Linked DNA regions of Cricetulus griseus. The protein of the gene in region 2 purifies or fractionates together with the protein of the main gene of each other region. This does not show direct contact. Links are inferred from orthologs where the notes say so. Each region holds a gene or a part of one and is shown on either strand. Other genes may lie near its edges.

Region 1 (3,648 bases), on a different chromosome or scaffold from region 2:
GAAAAACTCAGGTGCAGACCAGTTAAACTGGCCTTTTTATAGGGTGGCAGGTTTGCTTCACGTCTTGCCTTATAAGGCTGGTCATCCATGAGAACGCCCAACACTCTTCAGAGACCCCTAGCTCCCTTTCTTCTTCAGGCCCGGGGTGCATCTCACAGGTCCTCTGCTCATCTCTTTTCTTGAACTCCCCCTCCCCCCAGTTCGGCTCTACACCTGCCCCCCTTCCATTCTCCTATCCCATGAAGTGAGATGGGTGAGGTGGCAGCATGTTCCTGTGCTCACAGAAGGCTGGCCTGCAGCAGGATTGCTTGCTGGGAAAGAAATAACAAAAGATAACTCTTCAGGGCTTTTTAGACCAGGGTGCGGATGCAAATTAAATTTACTAGACTGTGGAGGGATTGAAGCCGAGACTGCAGAGGCCGTCTTACCCCGAGGAGGCAGGGCACAAGCGTCAGTAACAAGTTTTGGTCTTTTCCAGATGACAATGGCCTCAGCCCTGTCTGGGCTCCAACGCAGGAGAAGGTGACATTTGAAATTTATGATCCAAACCTTGCATTCCTTCGCTTTGTGGTCTATGAGGAGGACATGTTCAGTGACCCCAACTTCCTGGCTCATGCCACATACCCCATTAAAGGGATCAAGTCAGGTAAGGACCATTAGCAAGAATGTTCAGCATGGGGGAGGCAAGTTCATTGGTGTGTGCTGCAGGCTGTAAACGGGAACACGCCAGCATCTTTCCTGGCTCACGTTAAACCACAACAAAGCCGATGGTGTGGGCATTAAGCACAGGGGTGGGGAGAAAGTGGAGAAAGGCTGAGTCCTTGTTCGTCATCAGTGAGCAAAACATCAGTTACTCCATCCTCAGTCTGGCACTGTTTGGTTTCATTGTGAAATGCCTCAGGCAGTTTGTCTTCATTAGCAGGTGAAGAAATATGTTCTTCCACGAGCCATGAGTGTCACTGGCAGCATCCTAAGGATGAGGCCCCTGGCATCCACAGTGTCTAACTCGCTTAAGCATTCTGAACTCACCGTCTTCTACTAGACTCGGAGGTTGACCTAGTTCTTGGATTTCTTTTTATGCTGAACACAATACAAGACCCCCTCTTGCCTTACAAAGGGGCAGTGTATGCTTGCTTTCCACAATGTCAAAGTAGGTCACATAAGAGCCCATAAATCTGGGCGTCTCTCAGCCCTCATCAGAGCAGCCTGCTTTTAAGGCAGATGATGATAAATGCAGACAACAGGAGACTGTGGAGTACTTGATTCTACGTAGGACATCTATGTTACCCCCTTCTCCAAAGCTCAGGGGTTTGAGGAAGAGGAGACAGAAAGATTGTCAGAGTTATAGATGTCTGTAGCTACACATACAAGACCCGTACAAGATCAAGCTGACCCAAATCACAGCACAGATGGGGAAGGGCCCATGAAGTCCCTCTCCTCAGTGAGGAACATGAGGAACTCTTAGTAACGATGGCTGCTGCAAGAGGGAGAGTCCCATCTTCTTCAGGGATTCATCCCCTGAGAAGTTACCTGGCTCCAGTAGATGGTCCCACACCAGTGCATAAGTGCACTCAGTGCGTTCAAAAAAGAACATGTGGAGTTGGGGTGGGGGAGTGGTAGGGAGGAACTATGGTGGGTTTGATCAAAGCACACTATATTCATATATGAAATTCTCAAACAAGAAAAAATATGAAAAAACCCAACAACCAAAACCTGCTATACTGAGTTTTTCCAGTACAGCTAAGAATCTTCCCAGACCTGGAAGTTCTCTGAAGGTGGCCAGCCTTAGGGTATGGTTTCTGTCAGTTGCGTCCTCTCTGGATTTCATTTATGATCTAACACACAGGCCAGCTGCACGGTGGATTTCTTACTGCCTTATCCACACACAGCATTGCTGATTCACGACACAGACATCATAGATCCTTCTGGGTTCCCTAAGAGGTCACTGTTCCCCTGTTTCCCAGAGCAGTCATTTTTCAAGAGAAAGAAATTACTATCATTTTTTGTCATCTATATCAAATTACTGTCTTTTGATGTTTGGAAGCCTGGGCTCTATTCTGTGCTGAACTGGGTCTTTTGAAAACTTAGACCATGCCATCTCTTCTCTCATAAAGACTCTCAGCTTCTCCAGCCATTTCTCCCATTCTTTGCTAGGCCCATATCCAAGTAGCAAATGTGTTAGGGACTCCTGTTAGAAAATGTTAATTGCTGGGTCCACCGTGGGATGCTCCAATTCAGCCCAGTGTGGCACTCCGGAATCAGTTGCATGATGTCCCGCCCCCGGGAAGACCTGGGCAGTGTTGAGCAAAGAAGGCTGGCCTCAGTTTCCCATCTTACTGCTGAGGACCCCAACACTTGCGTGAGAGACTGGGGAAGTGTTCAAAGCCTCATTTCTATCTATCAGTTTAGAAGTAGCATTTGAGTACATTATGGCAATAATAATAATAACAAACACCCTGTGATGGCTAACATGCATACGGACGATGTTAAAGCCGGCATCAGAGCTGCTAGACTCTGTTTGGCTATGTACTTTTTAGACTAGCCCAATAAACAGGGTTTGGAAGTGATGCTGCCTCCTTCTCCCAGCAAGAAGAGCAGTATTGGGAGAATCTTTTCAATTCTGGTCTTAATGCCCTCATGGCAGTAAGGAGCTATTGCCATCTGGTTCCTGGACCATCGTGCTCCGCCCCTCCCCTACCATCCTGTGAAAGATGGGGAGGTTACTCTTGGGATGAAGTCAGAGTTCATGGCACACTGCCTTTCCTTATTGCTGGGCAACTTAACTTGAAGATTGAAAAAAAGCCAACAAGGAAACATCAAGGTGTTTAATGGGAACCTCCACCCCATGTCTAACTAGCAGATAACCACAGCAGGGACACTCTCCCTTTCTTTGCCAGCTCCTAGCATATCTATATTCACGAGAGGCAGGAAATGAAATGAATAGTCCTTTTGTGCAGCTGGCTTTCAGGGCCTTCTAAACTTGAAAATAAACTTTGTCCATTGTTGGGATGGTTGCACTTAAGCTTTCAAATTGGCTGGGCCCTGCGCAGGAGGGAGATGACACTTACCACACTCAACCACCTTCATTTCCTTTTCTTTAACCGTTACAGGAAGCCTGTGAGGGTTGCTTTTCTTTTATTATTAAATCATTTTTACTTTTAACATCTGAGGACTTCAAGGTCACGAGCTGGTACTTGGCCATTGTTTTTCCTTCTTTGTAGACTGTCCTTGAGGGGCCTCTTATTTCTAGTGGGTACTTAAAGTCTCCCCAATATTGACCGTTCTTCATTTCCCTTCTCTATGTGAAATAAACAAAGCTAAAAAAATAATACTATTTTCACGGTTGGAGCTGAGAAATACCTTGACTCTAGTTGGCATGAGGGCTTCTCAGAGTTGGGCAGTAAGAAGAGGCATGGGGAACCAAGGGCAGAGCCCATGCCTCTACTGTTAGCCAGTCCCTCCCTGTGGCTGGAGTCCACAGCTTCTTGGCAATGTCCTGGGCCACCCAGAACAGCCCAGGGCTCTGTTTATTTTCCCAGTCCATTAATACTAAACTCTCCCCAGGTCATCCCATGAGATGCACATAATCTTAGCAGGGCTCATAAGGAATCTGCTCCTGCACCTGCATCTTAACAGGAGTCACAGCTC
Region 2 (3,648 bases):
AAAGGGGGGGATGGAATGGGTCTTTGGAAGCCTCCATGTTCCTTTCCAAATGCCCCCCCCCACAGACTTGACCCTTGTCTGTGGGAGAAAGGCAATCATAACTAACTTTAGTACAGTTCACAGGTACTGTAAACTGTTTACTCACACAAGCAGCCTGTGCATGCTTCAAATTCAGCCAACTGAAGACTGAAAATATGTAGAACTTTTAGGCTGAACTTTTTCCTTTTTTCTAGGCAGGGTTATTGAATCTAGGACCTTGAACATGCTAGGCAAACTTCCTACCATTGAGCTACAATCTCAGGACTGAAACTTTTATATCTATGTTTTCTTCTTCTCTGTTTGATAAGGCCATTTTCATAATAATCACAATCACATTGTATTAGACATGAGAAGTCATTCAGAGGTGATTTGAAATGTTGGGGGGTTATAGTAAAAGAGCTCTCCAGGCTCCACCCCTAACTGGGGAACTATTGGGAGTGGACAGCGGCCTGGTGAGGGAGAACAACTCTTCTGTGGAAACATGGCCACTGGGAGATGACCCCACTGTCATGCATACATGGGCAGCACTGGTTGGATTTAGTTGGCTATGAGAAAGAAAGGAAGAGGATGTGAAGTTGGAAGGGGCATGTGTGGAATGCAGGGGTGTTGGAGGAAGTAGGGGGTGAATATGACCATGTTTATTGCACAGATGTATGGAATTCTCAAAGAATACTTTTTTTTAAAAAAAATAAGGTATGTGGAGGATGCTGTAGGCTATATGTAAATACTGTGCCATTTTGTATCAAAGACAAGAACACATGGGCTTTAGCATGCATGAGCGGTACTGAAAACCATCCGTAACAGATGCTCAGAAACAACTGTATACACACATATACCACACACACACACACACACACACACACACACACACACACACACCATGCTTATCACAATCCTTTGGTGTCATGCCCATTTCAAAAGTTAAAATTCCAAGGAACAGACTGAGTGACGTTTCAAGGCCATCCTTGAAGGCATTCAAGGCAACTCTCAGAAGGAAGGGCCACATTCAAACACAAGTTCATGCTGAAGCTCAGGACAGCACTGAGTGCCTCATTTTCAGTGAGGGAGTCTCCCTTCTCTCCCCCTTTGGCAGGCTGGGGTCGGGGTGCTGCTTCATGCAAATCCAGTACAAGAAGGAAGTTAGACTTGAAGTGCTCAGAGTTCCTCCTTCTCCCTCCTCCCTGCCCTGTGCCCTATGCCTGACCAGGGTCACGCATGTGTGAGTCAACACTCAGGGGTCAGGGAAATGAAACATCCAAGCAGCTTCAGGGCAGAAGTGAGCAGGACTGGCCAACATGACTGTGGTTGTGGTACCGCATCCTTAGCAAACCCTTAGAAATCACACCAGTGGTCTCATGAGCCCCATTGAATCTATGCAATATAACAAATAAAAATGGCCTTTCAAATTGGTGTGTGTGTGTGTGTGTGTGTGTGTGTGTGTGTGTTCATGACTGTGCAGGTGCACTTGTGTTTGCAGGTATACATCACATGTTTACATGTGTGTACATGCCAGAAGATAGCCTTATCCGTCGTTCTTCAGGTGCTGCCTATCTTGTTTTTAAGAGACAGAGTATCTCACAGGCCTCAAACTTGCAAGTATGCTAGAATGGCTGGGCAGAGTCCTCAGGGATCCTCTTGTGTCCACCTCCCCAGTGCTGTGCCACCGTACCCAGCCTTTTCCTTTTTAAAGGTGAGTCCTGGTAACTAACTAGGTTATGACTGAGCTATTTCCCAAATTCTATAGTGGCCATCTTAAGTAGCATGTGACACAGAGCCAAACTTCTTAGGTAGCACATCAGTAAAGAAAGAACCTAATGTCTGTCCTTGTTGGGAGAAATAATAGAGGTGCCCACAGCCACACTTGAAAGCGAAGTTCTTTTTGCTCTATTCCTGCTGCCTTGACAAGAGCTATGGTCAAGGTGCTGCCAGGATCTGGGCACACTTACTCTTCCAGGACTTTCATCTTTTCTCCTTTCTTGAAGGACAAGTCATCTGGGTGGATGCCATCGTAGGGGTACAAGGCTACCACAATGTCCCCTTGTTCCTCTGGATCTAAGAACAAAAGATATAAGCAAAACACTTTCAAAACCTATCAACATAAACACAAAGGAAGGAAAGAAGCAGTGGAGAGAAGGGCCAGGGAATGAAGCTGTGTGCTTCCCACCTACAAATAATACCAGCTGCGGGCTGGAGAGATGGCTCAGAGGTTAAGAGCACTGACTGTTCTTCCAGAGGTCCTGAGTTCAATTCCCAGCAACCACATGGTGGCTCACAGCCATCTCATTATGAGATCTGGTGCACTTTCTGGTGTGCAGATATACATGGAAGCAGAATATTGTATACATAATAAATAAATAAATAAAATCTTAAAAAAAAGAAAACAACAACAACAACAAAAATAATACCAGCTGCATACTGTGTACACCAAGCCCAGGAACCTACTATAATTTCAAAACTATGTTTAGGACAGAATATACGTCTGATCATGGCAGCACTGTCATGGTCCCCCAAAGGCAGAAGCTACTCTAGTATCCATCAGTGGAATGAACAAAATGTGACATATACATATAATAGAATAATATTAAATCAAAAAGAATCGAAGTTCTGGCACACAATATATTATAGATGAGCCTTGAAAACCTCATGTTAAATTAAATGAGCCAGGCACAAATGACAAAGACTGTATAATTTCCATTCACGTGTGCTACCTAGAGCAATCAAATCCGCAGGGACAGAAAGTATAATGGTGGCTGCCCAGAGCAGAAGGGAGTGGAGAAGCAAGGGTGTTTAATGATAGAGTTCCACTTGGGATAATGGAAACCTTCTGTCATGGATGCTGGTGAGGTTTGCACAGCAATGTGGACTTCCTGCCTCTGAACTCCACATTTAAAACATGGTTAAAGGCATGATAAATTTATGATATATATATATATATATATGTATGTATATATATATATATTTTCCCACAACAACAAACAGAATATTAACTATATTGCTAAGAAAACATACCTTTTGTTTGAAACCTCTGTCCTGGTAAAAGTTGAGATTCTGGAACCTACGAAAGAGTATTCGTTAGGGAAAAAAATATCATGATCAACTTTTTCTTGCATGCATGCTGCTAACATCTTTCTAACAGCAACAAGTGAGGTTTAGATTTGCAGTTACTAAGCAGGAAAGATGAGCTGAACAGAAAAGCTTATAGGGTGTTGCCACTGCCTCAGAGCAAGGGCTCAGAGCAAGGCTCCAGCATCCAATGCCATCTTCCTCAGGTCCCACCTGTACAGTCCTTTTCAGGGCTTTTTCTGGACATGTAGTTCTTGGTCTGTATCAACAGGTCAAGTGAGTAGGGCTTCATGAGTTGGGGACTAGAGGCCAGCCCGCCATGATCCTTTCTCTTGCTTTTAACAGAGTGCTAATATTTGAGGTGGCAGTTTGCCTAGTGTGATAGCTGCTTCTAGACTTACAGCTCCCTATGTAGAAGGGGAAGAAGCATGGCATAAACTCACTGGTTGGGTGGGGCCTTGGTGAAATATGCCTCTTTCTGCCTAGATAGAATTAAAGATTGGCAGCACAGCAGCCATGGAAACCAAGCAGTAGGTAGGGCCATCC
Region 3 (4,369 bases), about 220 Mb from region 2:
TATGACACCAGGAGACTCTGGGTAACAGAGGGGCCTGGTGAGGGAGTACCTACACCTTACTTCCTTCCGTTTTGCACAGTGATTTCAGGGTCAGGGAGTGAATACAGTGAACATGCTCTGAGGGAATGTGGATGAGCTGGCAGACTGCCCAGGTATGGAGTACTTGGCTTTTTCCTTCCCCATCAGCCCATAGATGCCACTGTGCACACTCACCTGTTTCTACATCATTGGCATTGGCAGAATCCCTCAGCCTCTTCAGAGCTATAAAGAGAAAAGTGACAGTTAAACAAAATCGTAACAAAACCATAAGGCACATCGCTTCCCAGTGTTCCCTGATATTCCACCCTTCCGTCACAGCAGCACAGAAAGGCAAAGGTATCGGGACAGAAACCACTAGTCTGGGAACAAGGAGAAACTGGAACTGGGCCACAGTTGGAAGAGAGACCAATTTCTGTAGAAAATTGACTTCTGGAGCCAGATCTAATTTCTGCCACTTGTCGTAGTTGGCGACCTTGAGCAAGCCAGTTACTTACCCTGGGCCCCAGCCCATCATCCGTACAACAAGGCTGACTTGTTCTGCCAGCTCTTAAGTTGTTACAAAGAAAATTGAGATAATTTTTTAAAAGAGAAAGACTGAGCAGGTTTAGTCCTTTGTGAGCTAATTGCATTCAACATTTTATTATTCTGCTTCAAAGCAGGTCATTCCTAAATGACTTACCAAACTCAGTAATTCCTAAGCAGAAACTTCCCTCTTCTCACTGATGCCACTTCTACCTTAGAACTAACAGAAAGCAATACCTTTGTTGTCAAGAGAATGGTCAAAACAACTGCAAACTAGATATAACAATTGCATATATCCATATGCCACATTTTTGTTTATACAGTCCTTTGAAATTCTCTTTTAATCTTTCTTGAGACAGGGTTTCTCTGTGTAGCCCTGGCTGTCCTGGAACTCACTCTGTAGACCAGGCTGGTCTTGAACTCACAGAGATCCACCTGCCTCTACCTCCTGAGTGCTGGTATTAAAGGCGTGCGCCACCACTGCCAGGCCCTCCTTTGATCTTTATAACACTAAGACACCAGGTGAAATGGTGCTAGTCTGAAAAGAGACCTTAAAAATTTCCAATTTATTAATCTTTCTGTATCCCATTTTCCTTTTCACCCACAAACTGCAGAAACAATATAGCAGATGGGGTTGGAATACTGGCATAGCCTTCTTCTATATGACTTGAAATCAGAATGTCCAAATGGGCTGGAGAGATGGCTCAGAGGTTGAGAGCACTGGCTGCTCTTCCAGAGGTCCTGAGTTCAATTCCCAGCAATCACATGGTGGCTCACAACCATCTATAATGAGATCTGGATCCCTCTTCTGGCACACAGGCATATATGTAGGCAGAACACTGTATACAAGATAAATAAATCTTTAAAAAAAAAAAAAAAAGCCGGGCGTTGGTGGCGCACGCCTTTAATCCCAGCACTTGGGAGGCAGAGTTCGAGACCAGCTCTGGTCTACAAGAGCTAGTTCCAGGACAGCCTCCAAAGCCACAGAGAAACCCTGTCTCGAAAAAACCAAAAAAAAAAAATGTCCAAATGGTAATAACTGACTCAGTGGGAAAAGAGGCTAGCTACAAAGCCTGATCTACTGAGTGTAATCACCAAGATTTACAGTGAACCTGGAACTTGATACTTAGCCCAGACTAGCCCTGAACTCAGAGTCCTGCTTCTGCCTCCTCAGGATTACAGGAGTACTACCACACCTGGCACACCTGGCTGTTTTTCTTTCTTTTCTTTTTTCCTTTTTTTTTTTTTTTTTTTTTTGGTTTATCCAGACAGGGTTTCTCTGTGTAGCTTTGTAGACCGGGCTGGCCTCTAACTCACAAGACATCCTCTTGCCTCTGCCTCCTGAGTGCTGGGACTAAAGGCTTATGCCACCACCACCAGGCTCTGGCTGTTTCACTTGTTTACAAGTCACTTCTTATGGGCCACAATGTATCCCTTGGAATGACTATAAAAGGTTGTGTATCAAAAGTGCTTGGTCCATCACAAAGATAGATCAGAACCTTGCCTAAGTCTTCACACCCAAGGAAAGCTGGTAGTGTACCCATTCTACAAATAGGAAAGCGAGGTCACACGTGAGTCTGTGTGGAGCAGTCTGGTTCAGATCTGTGCATCACACAAGTTGGTACAGCGTGGCCACAGCTCTGGGTTCCCTTCTCTAATAATAAAAATATTCTCCATTGTCTCACATTATTGTCTACTAACAACCACTCTCGAGAGTGGAAAGTTTTTATTCAGGGATGTCCAAGTGGCCGAAGTCACGGTCCTCAACAGCTTTAACTGCTGCGATCATTCACGAGCGACCCTAGGATCCCGGGTTGAGCTCACCGTGCACCTCCTTGCCAGTGGGCCCGAGCCTGCGGTGGGGCCTAGCGGCGCGCCTCAGCCGCCCGGCGGGGATCTTGCAGCGCAGTTCATCGCGGGGCTCGGCGTCCTGCTGCCACAGGACCTGCAGGTAGCGCAGCGGGGACTGGGCCCTGCCGGCTGCCCGGCCCGGGAGGCCTGCGCCGCCGCCCAGCGCAGCGCCTAGGTCCGCGAAGGAGAACAGGCCTCCGGCTTCCGCCAGCGGCTCCGGCGCCACCGCGCACTCGCCGTCGGAGCTCGAGCGGCCGGATCGGGACTCGTCATCCGCGACCCCGCCGGTGGCTGCCATGGCAACGGCTAGGCGCGGGCCTGGCAGCGCCAGCCTCGTTCCGGACCGACCAACGGACCCGCTTCCCTCTAGGAGAAGCCTCGCTGTCAGAGAGCGAGCGGGCGGGGCCTGCAACCACGGCAACAGAGTGCAGGCAAGCCGGGCTGTGTAGAGCGTCAGACCAATCAGAGATCGCGGAACCTGCACAACACAGCCAATCAGGCAAGGAAGGCAGAGTATAACGAGAACACTGGTTTACGGCAGTTTGTCTGGCGGGTACATAAGCCAATCATAAGTTGGGATTGCTCCGCACTAAGCGGTGTTGCTACAGGAGCCAATAAAAAAGCAGAGTTCAGTCTACTTTCCCCCACCCTCTTCTGCCAGTTCTTCCTATCGTAGATCCGGAAGGACGGCAGGCAAATACTTTGGCCAATCACCATAAGATGCTCTCCAGCCAATCGGAAAGGAAAATGAAGAAACCAAACTACTCTGATGTGTGTTTTGAATCAATGAACACAGGCACACAGAAAGAGGTTTTCCACAAAACGTACAATGATTTGAAGATCACCACGAAGCAGGTGGTAATATCTTCTAATGTAATAGATTTATCTTTGTCAGGGTTCTCTTTCCTTCACAGGGATCATTGATTTAACAAAGAATTTTACCTTATGTTATTATACAAGAGTGACCCTTCCGTAGACAAATTAGCTCAGGGCTATTTTTCAGCCTTGAAAGTCCTACCAAACACGGGCCTGAACCTGATACAAGGGGCCTGCAAGTACACACACACACACACACACACACACACACACACACACACACACACGTCATTTGCATTTGGTCAATTCATAAAAAAATAGAAAACACTTGAAAGATCAAGTAAATAAATGCCTGTATCATTGTCTTGTGGGACTCCAAGGACATGGGTTCTAGTTTTGTTCTACTCCATATTTGTAATTTGGGGGCAACTTCTTGGAGCCGGTCTTTTCACCAGGAATTTTTCTAGGTTGGATATGAATACCAGGTGCTCAGGCTAGATCCAACAAGTTGCCTTGTCTTTCCATCTTTCTTTGCCTCGACTGGTTGGCCTTTAAAGAATATTAGAGAAATTTGTACTGGTTGTCAGCATTTACAATTTGACTGCTGATGGGGCTGGAGAGATGAGTCGGAGGACCTGGATTCGATTCCCAGCACCCACATGGCAGTTCCAGAGTAATCTCTCACCCTCACACAGACATACTCTCATGTGAAATACCAGTGCACATAAAAATAAATACACCTTTAAAAAATTAGTGCTGGAGAGATGACTCGGAGGTCTTCCAGAGGTCCTGCGTTCAGTACCTAGCATGGCGGCTCACAGCCATCTGTAAGGAGATCTGGTGCCCCTTTCTGGCCCACAGGCATACATGCAGATAGAACATTATATACATAAATAAATAAGTAAATCTTGAAAGAAGGGTTTAAGAAATTCAAATCTGAGCCAGCAAGATCGACAATGGTTCTCAACCTGTAGGTCTCACATGACCCTTTCACAGAAATAGCCTAAGACCATTTGTTTATCAGATATTTATACCATCTGCATATCATATATTTACATTATGATTCATAACAGCAGCAAATTACAGTTATGAAGTAGTAATAATGTTTGGGGTTACTACAACATGAGAAACTGTATTAAGG

What was found.
Region 1: the proteins of Lyn (region 2) and Plcg2 purify together in Homo sapiens (affinity purification with western blotting; 3 studies listed by BioGRID, with this or other methods). This does not show direct contact. The link is inferred for Cricetulus griseus from reciprocal best matches to the Homo sapiens genes LYN and PLCG2.
Region 3: the proteins of Lyn (region 2) and Ankrd54 purify together in Homo sapiens (affinity purification with mass spectrometry; 3 studies listed by BioGRID and IntAct, with this or other methods). This does not show direct contact. The link is inferred for Cricetulus griseus from reciprocal best matches to the Homo sapiens genes LYN and ANKRD54.

Annotation. Positions count from the first base shown.
Region 1 is NC_048596.1:194,234,676-194,238,323, forward strand, and holds part of Plcg2 (1-phosphatidylinositol 4,5-bisphosphate phosphodiesterase gamma-2), read left to right. Parts: intron 1-478; coding exon 479-646; intron 647-3,648. UniProt on the Homo sapiens protein: The production of the second messenger molecules diacylglycerol (DAG) and inositol 1,4,5-trisphosphate (IP3) is mediated by activated phosphatidylinositol-specific phospholipase C enzymes. It is a crucial enzyme in transmembrane signaling.
Region 2 is NC_048595.1:156,369,679-156,373,326, forward strand, and holds part of Lyn (tyrosine-protein kinase Lyn), read right to left. Parts: intron 3,095-3,648; coding exon 3,049-3,094; intron 2,092-3,048; coding exon 1,986-2,091; intron 1-1,985. UniProt on the Homo sapiens protein: Non-receptor tyrosine-protein kinase that transmits signals from cell surface receptors and plays an important role in the regulation of innate and adaptive immune responses, hematopoiesis, responses to growth factors and cytokines, integrin signaling, but also responses to DNA damage and genotoxic agents.
Region 3 is NC_048595.1:376,177,499-376,181,867, forward strand, and holds the start of Ankrd54 (ankyrin repeat domain-containing protein 54), read right to left. Parts: upstream 2,810-4,369; 5' UTR 2,711-2,809; coding exon 2,386-2,710; intron 262-2,385; coding exon 214-261; intron 1-213. UniProt on the Homo sapiens protein: Plays an important role in regulating intracellular signaling events associated with erythroid terminal differentiation.